Saccharomyces cerevisiae S288C: one gene and its partner. The protein of the gene in region 2 interacts with the protein of the main gene of each other region in a biochemical or structural test. Each region holds a gene or a part of one and is shown on either strand. Other genes may lie near its edges. The genes, in order: SAW1 and SIZ1.

Region 1 (3,229 bases), on a different chromosome or scaffold from region 2:
GAAATACAATATCAGCGACTCTAGGCCGCACGTTCAGCAATTTCAAAATGCCATCAGGAAGGTGAGGCAAGTGCAAAGAATGAAAAAACAAAGAGGATTTGCCTTTTCACAGGCTGAAGAGGGTGGGCAAGAAAAAATTGTCAGAATGTATGATACTACTCAAAAGAGAGGTAAGTACGGTGAATTACAAGATGCTTCGGCGAACCCCTTTAATGACAATAATGGACTGGGAAGTAACGACTTTGAAAGTGCAGAACCGTTCATTGAAAATCCATTTGCTGATGGTAATCAAAATTCAAATAGATTCAGTTCTTCGAGAGATGATATTTCATTTGATATATGAGGCACAGAAACAAAGAGCAGAAGACAAAAAATACAAAAATAAAAATAAGATAAAAAGAAAAGTCATTATTACCATTACTGAAATATGTACATTTACCATAAAATATATCCGTTATATAGAAGTTATAATATTAAGCCATCACTTTGTTATCGGTTTTTCATTCCTCCTGGGGTTGCTTCGACTGGGTACGTACCTTATGTCTTCTAGGCCTATGCAACACATGTACATCAATAATTTCACCTAAATTAATAACAGGCTTGTACATAAATTCTATTACAGGTTTTATATCCTCTTCCACCGGTGTATCCAGGGCATCAGCGTCCCCATTTTCTATTAACAAATTAGGTACCTGGGGCTGTTTTTCTATTTTCCTAGCTAATAACGTTTTGGGTCCTGCATTTAATGAGAAACCGTTTAATGTTAATGTTTGAAACATCAAATAGTGCCTTAAATTGGCGATCTTCTTAATGCTGTTGATGAATATGTCGAGCTCCCACTTATGTTTGTAGTGCAACTTGTATTTGAATTTAGCCAGCCTTGTCACAGACTGGATGTGAGAAGTTACCGCATTATCCGTATCGGCACCTGCAAAAAGTTTGGGCAGAACGTTGATTTGGAAATCAGTAGAATGACCAACTCTTATTTTGCTGAGTACGGAACTGATGATTTCCGGGGACGCTAGTTCGTAAACAATCAATAACAGGTCCTCCTTGATCTCGTCACAAAGATTCTTCTTATCTTGTTGCGATAAATATATTCTTGTATTTGGTGATTTTAAGCAGATTATGGAGTTATTTGATAATAATGGTGCTTCAAATATAGTGGCATTCGACTTATTGCTAGTCTTATCATTGGTTTGAAGGATCTGCTTTCTATTGACAAATATACGTAATGGCAAAACCATGTCCCTGGCTATCTTTACCGTTGCTATACTTGGTGCCATTTTTCACGGTTACTGTGAAGTCCAATATACTCAATCTTCTTGTATTCTTCCCTTTCAGGCCTGTCCTTTTCTATTTCATTGCCCTTTTTTCCACTCATCTTTCCACTTGATTAAAAATACCAGAAGAAGCACATTTTTACATTTATACGTTACATATGAAAAAATCACAGGATCATTTTTTGATATACAAATACTATTTTTTATTTATGCGATACTAGATGCTTGAAGGTATAGCATATGACGATGATGATAATTAAAAAGACAATATCAAGGGCCTCGTTGCGGTATTTAGATGCGAATGTTACATTTTTTTTGGATATCATTAAGGAATTCTCCAAAGACAATAAACTTTCCATTTTCCTCATTACTTCCTTCCTAGAGGCCAACCTGTCTTTGCAAGAAGCCATTCTTTTCTCTAAATCTTGTAATTTTGCCACGTTTGTATTTATTGTATCACTCAAACGTGCCTCAAATGATTCGGGGTTTTCCTTGTCAAAATCCTGTTTCAAATTCATTAAATAATCCTCTTCAACAAGCTCTTTCCATCCAATGGTCCTGGATCTTAAGTCCCTTAGCTCTTTAACGATCTTGTCAAAATTTGCAATGTTTTTAACAAGGTCATTTTCATCTTTCAGAACCTCATCTTTCAAACTGTGCTTTAGTAAAGCTTCTGTCTGCTGTAACTGCAATCCGATATGACGCTGATAGTAGTCTAATTCATCTGAATTTAGCGAAAGATTCGAACTACTATATGTGATATTTCCAGGAGGTTCAAGAGGATCAACAGCCACTGACTGTGAGAATGACGTCGATGATGAAGACGATGAAGAAGAAGACAACGAAGATGAGGACGACTGCGAAAACGATGCATTGCAGGCGTCTTTTGGCGAAAGCCCAATGGGATTAGCAACGGCAGGAGAGGATTCGGAAGCTACAGAGGGCGGTCTTGAGGGCGAAACATGTTTCTTTGGTGAGCTTTCAAGATCATGGTAAAGCAAGCTCTGTAACGATATATCTGTCTGCGTGCTAGAACTCCCGTCTGATGAATGCGAATGATGTGTGGGTCGCTTGGAAGGCTTAGATATAACATTGGGCAATATTGGATCGAAAGCCGGCGCCAGTGCAGACGAATCCTTAGATTGCCCAGACGAAGAAGGCTCCATGGATTTCAAAAACCGGTGAACCAACCTTTTCTTGTCCTTCACGAAGGACCGGGAAGGTGATTTAAGACCGTACTTGTCGTTGTCTTTGTAATGGCGATGGGCTGGGTGCTGCTGGGCTTGCAACATCTTAAATGAGGGAAAATGGTCTTTGGCAGAGTATCCACCATCGAGAGGCTTTGATTCTACACTATGCTGCGGGAATGGTCCTTTAAAGGTGGCGACTACGTTAAATGGGTGTTTTGGCGAGAGTCCAGAAGACTTCATCGTACTGAGACTTCGTACTTTATCTGGTGCTGCGTTGAACATACAATCGCTGAACATTGCGGTCGAGGCAGACGTGTAATCCGGAATAACTTGACGATGCAGTTTATGACGAGCATGATGGTGCTCCATTTCATATTTCTGCTCTTTTTCGTGTAATGCAGCCAAATTACTGTGAGAGGCTTGCCATCCAACGTTTGGCTTAGTTTCAACAGTAGATTTGTGGCCAACATCTGGTGTTCCAGCGTCAATCATTTGCTTTACATCTTCCAGGGGTCTCTTTTCTACACCATCTTTGCTATTGCGATCTGTACCATCTATTCCGCTGCCTTTAGAAGAGCTCTTTATTTGAGCATTTTGCATTGTACCTGGACAACTACTGGACTACGTAAAAAACTGCCATCAATTTGTGTTATTCTTACTCTTTGAGACAATGTTTCATAACAATAGAACAATAGCTTTTTGACCTTCCCCTTATTTTATTTCAAAAGGTAACAGTTAGGGCTATTCTTAAACTTT
Region 2 (5,363 bases):
TTTAACCTCTTTATTATTGCCCTGTCCTTATTCCATTTTTTGGAGTATTATATTACAGCTAAATACAATCCTCTTAAGGTACATTCAGAGTCCTTTCTTCTGAACAACGGCAAAAGTTACATGGCGGCACATTCCTTTGCTATTCTGGAATGCCTCGTAGAAAGCTTTCTTTTTCCTGATCTGAAAATTTTTAGCTACTCTCTAGCTACCAAGCTTTGTACAGTACTTGGATGTCTTCTAGTTATTCTGGGACAATATACCAGAACTATTGCTATGCATACTGCGGGACATTCCTTTTCTCATATTGTGAAGACCAAGAAGGAGTCCGATCATGTTTTAGTGAAAACTGGCGTTTACTCCTGGTCAAGACATCCAAGTTATCTTGGGTTCTTTTGGTGGGCAATTGGCACTCAGCTACTGCTTCTAAATCCCCTATCATTGGTTATTTTCATTTTTGTACTTTGGAAATTTTTCAGTGATAGAATTCGTGTGGAAGAAAAATATTTGATAGAGTTCTTTAGCGCGGAATACATAGAATACAAGAATAAGGTTGGTGTCGGAATACCTTTTATATAATAGTAATGATTGTGTTAGTTATGGACTGGATTTTTGTGTTATGTAAGATTTTATCTAATCTTGTGCATCTGTATTTGGTAGGTAATAAATGCTAGGGGAATGCAAACAGTGATATTGCCTTTGAGTATTGAAAAGAAGAAAATATTTCTTTTTCGAACGGAAAATTATAGAAAATGAAGGTCATATGCACAATTACAAAGAAAATATTTCATGAAAGAGCTGGACGGAACCGTCCAATTTTAGCCTCGTTTTTAACCACTGTTGTATTTCTTTCCATAATCTTGCGTTTTCCATGTACCCATTATGGGTGAAGTTGAGGATGTATTAGAAAGTTGTCTTTTTTGGGGCAGTACATTAGAGTAAGGCCTCCTTGGAATGAATGGATTTACAATGAGTCTGGACTTCTGCAACGGTATGGTTGCAGTGTTGGGAGGATTGGGGACACTGTTTTCATTGTTTATCAAAGGAAGCCCAGACTTGTTAGAGTTTGTACGAATTGGGACGTTCTGGGGCAACGTGGGAAGTACAGGCGTAGAATTTTGTCGCCCGACGTCATTCCTCGTGATTGCTTCTGTTGTTGGTAGAGAGTTATTCCTTTGATCAAGCCCATTATTCGACAAAATAGTTGCCCCACGCAATGTTGAATCAGGGAATCTTGTGGTATTCAAACGTGGATCATTAAATCTTGAGTTCACGGTGGAAGGAAAGGACATATCCATATTCTGTTCACGTGGTGGAAAAACTGAAGATTCTTGAGGCTGGACAAATGAATCTGATATCGATGCAGTATAACTGTTGGAATTTATGGGAGGCCTTATTGTTTTATCGGGAACAGTGGATCCCCTGGGATCTAATGAACTCATTCTTATTAAGGGAGGGGTACTGAGAGCGCTCGAACTTGCATTTGAAGCGGTGTTTCTTGGCGTTGGGGATGATACGCTAACATCTGGAGAGATTAAGTGGGATGAATTATCAACAGCAGTCACATTTAAAGGCGTTTTTCCCAGAATGTTCGGCAATTGTTTACCAATATAACTGGAACTGTTTCCGAGGTACTCAGGAATAACCCTGTTTGTCACCGGAGTAGTAGTTTCTGAAGCAACTATGTTATAACTTTTTGGATCCAGGGTTCTCGAGGGTGCACTTGAACCTTTTTCAGTTAGAATATCTGTATTAGTACTTTTAAGGTGATTGCTAGTTATTTCCGCCATAAGTCGATCATCATCATCGTCATCATTATCGTTCATTAAATTTTTAGTATGATTATGACTGGGAGTATTACTGCGACTACCATGATCATGTTTATTATTACTATTACTATCATTATTTTCGATACTATTATTATTATCATTATTATTATTATTGTTATTATTATTATTATTATTATTTTTATTATGACTATCATTATTTTTGATACTATTATTATTGTTATCATTACTATGCCTGTTGCTATCATCATGATTATTAGTAACATGAGGATTATTTCCATTTGGTTCGTCATCATCACTATCGAGATTTATGATAATCGGTTCACTTGGATGTGAAGAAGAACAATGATGATCCGATACTGAAGTACCTTTTTCTGGGCTTCTACTACCATCATTGCTGTCACTGTCGCTGTCATCATCGTCTTCCAATATGGCTGTCCACTTACCATCAGAAGTAAGTTCTACCTGTTCAACGTTTTTTTGACAGTTCTGTAAAATGTCATCAACAAATTCGGAAATTGCTAAATTTTCCAAAGCTATATCAATTTGACATACTGGGCATTGCCACGTAGGAATTTGTAGTTGGGAGTGTAGGAACCATAATGCATCAAAACATTGCAGATGCTTACAATTTATTGATTTTGAAGGGTATTTCATTCTTGTGTACGAAATTGGACATTGCAGACTCATGATAGTAGATGTGGTAGTCAAGCCCATTTCTTCATCCTCCCGAAGTGTTTTTTTCAAGTAAAGTAACGTGGCTTGTTTAATAATTTTTGGATGCTGTAATACTTTTTCCAGGAGTTGCTCCGGAGTGATCATTTCTACAATGTACCCAAATAGCTTGTATTCCTTCGTGGTGAAGGCATATATCAGCTCCACATTGTTTTGTTGAGTATAAGGTTTGAGATGAGGCGTTAAATCCGCCGGCTTAGCTGTGCCCGGCTTACTCTTGAAACCTCTTATATTATCTTTGATTTGAACATTATTGCACCTTAATTCATTTGGGAATGGAAATTGGATGGGTTCATTACCTCGGGATCCTAATGGATTAATCATCCCAGAAAATAAGTATAGCCTGTGTTTGCTATTCGGGTTACTTAATAGATTATAGTCTGCTTTGGACAATTTAAATTTCGCAGAGCACATACCTCTTCCGCCTGTGACTTCCACGTTCATCACTAATTCAGGGATTAGCCTTTGTATTTTGTAAAATGGAGACTCTTTAAAATGAATTGTCGGTACAGCAAAAGATGATGAAGAAGAAGAGGCATCTGGATTTGTAGGTGGTGGTGCACGAGATGTGGAAGATGTGGTAGACGTTTTCCGCCGTTGAGTGGGAGACTGCCTAATAACGGAAGGTGATTGCTGCTGCACCGTGGGAGGCCCCTCCATAGAACGTACTGTGATAGCACTCAATGGGGTACCCTTTCTTAAAGCGTTCCAAAGATCTTTATAAACAGGCAAAGGTTCATTCTTTCTGATCCGTTCTATCAGAAATTTAACGGCTTGAACTCTATAAGGATCAGACTTGCCTACTACTAAAGCGTTCTGCAAGAAATTCCTGATAAGGTCCTGTAGAACGGCCTTGCGACCGGAAACCGGGAAAGATACAGACCTGCAAATATCCTTCAATTCGGACACTTTCAGCAGTTCCATCAGAGTGATGGTTTCCTCCACCTCGTTTCTTAGTTCATTAGTCGGTTCCCTATCAGGCCCAGGCGTTTCATCTTCCCAGTAATCCTCTAAATTTATCATTGAAACAGAATGTATATGGAACACTCAACTGTTTGAGTTGGAGTCTTCTTTTCTTGTGAAATATGGATGAACTCCACTTCATTCTTTCATATTCATATTAAAGATGATACACTTTTCAACTTACTATCTGGTGCGGTGAATGGGTGTATACATTGACTACAGCTCAGGTGACATCTAGGGGCCGTTTAGTGTAAGAATATAAAGTACAATCCAAAAAGGAAAATTATACTTGTTTAAGAAAAGAGGAACCTTCTGCTCGCTCTAAAATGGTAGTTCTAGTGATAGTTTAAAAATGCATTTTCCTTCCGACTTCGAAGATAGATTTCAGCATAAAGACTAAAAGCGTCAGCAAGGATTCGAATGAGTGACTCGTTGCTAGTGACTCTGACCTGTTTTTTATTCCAGCAAGAGGAAAGTTATATAGAGTAGTTTATGAAGAGAAGACACTTCTAAAGTTGAATAACGCTCCTAGCCTCAAGGTTGATGATTTAACTTGCAGCAAGCGCAGGTGAGAGCCAACACACATCAATAATCTTTCCAAAAGCTATGGCCAGAATTGTCGTATTAATTTCGGGCTCAGGTTCCAACTTGCAAGCCTTGATCGATGCCCAAAAGCAGGGCCAATTAGGCGAGGATGCTCATATTGTCTCTGTCATATCTTCCAGCAAGAAGGCATACGGGTTAACTAGGGCAGCGGACAATAATATCCCCACAAAGGTTTGTTCGCTATACCCATATACAAAGGGTATTGCGAAGGAGGACAAAGCCGCAAGGGCCAAGGCAAGATCCCAGTTTGAGAACGACCTCGCAAAACTAGTGCTCGAGGAAAAGCCTGACGTTATCATCTGCGCGGGCTGGTTATTGATCCTTGGATCTACTTTCTTGAGCCAACTGCAATCTGTGCCGATATTAAATCTGCATCCAGCGCTACCAGGTTGTTTCGATGGTACCACACACGCAATTGAAATGGCATGGCGCAAATGTCAGGACGAGAACAAGCCTCTGACGGCCGGATGCATGGTGCACTATGTCATCGAGGAGGTCGACAAGGGTGAGCCATTGGTGGTAAAAAAGCTAGAAATCATACCTGGCGAAGAAACACTAGAGCAGTACGAGCAAAGGGTACACGATGCTGAGCACATCGCGATTGTAGAAGCTACATATAAGGTTTTACAGCAGCTTCACAAATAAGAATAGTTCCCATATTTATACTTTTATATTTGGCATTCTTCAAAGTGAGGCGCGAAACATCTCGCGTCGTAAATCATGATCATGGATTGTGACAAAACGATCTTAAAGGTTTCGAATAAAATGTGTGTAAATACGTATACTTATATATGAATGTGCATGTGTAAACGCTTAATCGTGTTATTGCAAAACTAAAATCAGGCCAGATTGTAGTTTAAACGGTTCTAGTATAACTGGTTTAAGGTGCGGCTCACAACCTGTTACAGGGAGACAAAAACCATGAATATTCTTAAGCATTTCCCAAGCTATGTTGGCCCATCTAAGATTAGGACCTTAGTGATACCAATTGGCCATTGGACGCGAAAAGAGTTTAATAATGCGGTACAGAAACTTTCTGAATTCAACGAAATTCATCTGTCTGATGTAACCCCCATTGACAGCCCTATCTTCACACCGCAAGGCTTTCCACATGGGAAGTTATTTTTCGACTTCTTGACCATAGATCATGACGATGCATTGGAGTTGTTTCTGTATGATTTTGAGCCATTTCGGAAAACATTTGTCATTATTGGGCTGGTAAACGATTACAGTGACCCCTTGACCAATTTGAATTTCATGAAGGAGAAGTATCCA

Evidence for each region.
Region 1: of the proteins of SIZ1 (region 2) and SAW1, one has a biochemical effect on the other in vitro, tested with the Saccharomyces cerevisiae proteins (one study listed by BioGRID).

The regions. Positions count from the first base shown.
Region 1 is NC_001133.9:92,744-95,972, reverse strand, and holds SAW1 (DNA-binding protein SAW1), read right to left. Parts: upstream 1,287-3,229; coding exon 501-1,286; downstream 1-500. Other genes in the region: aminophospholipid-translocating P4-type ATPase DRS2, read left to right, coding at 1-343; FRT2 (Frt2p), read right to left, coding at 1,487-3,073. UniProt on the Saccharomyces cerevisiae protein: Catalyzes 3'-non-homologous tail removal of RAD1/RAD10-dependent single-strand annealing recombination intermediates. Plays a key role in targeting RAD1/RAD10 complex to 3'-flap cleavage substrate in recombination.
Region 2 is NC_001136.10:1,287,585-1,292,947, reverse strand, and holds SIZ1 (SUMO ligase SIZ1), read right to left. Parts: upstream 3,543-5,363; coding exon 828-3,542; downstream 1-827. Other genes in the region: STE14 (protein-S-isoprenylcysteine carboxyl O-methyltransferase), read left to right, coding at 1-576; ADE8 (phosphoribosylglycinamide formyltransferase), read left to right, coding at 4,089-4,733; TRAPPII-specific subunit TRS120, read left to right, coding at 5,010-5,363. UniProt on the Saccharomyces cerevisiae protein: Acts as an E3 ligase mediating SUMO/Smt3 attachment to septins and PCNA. May be involved in chromosome maintenance.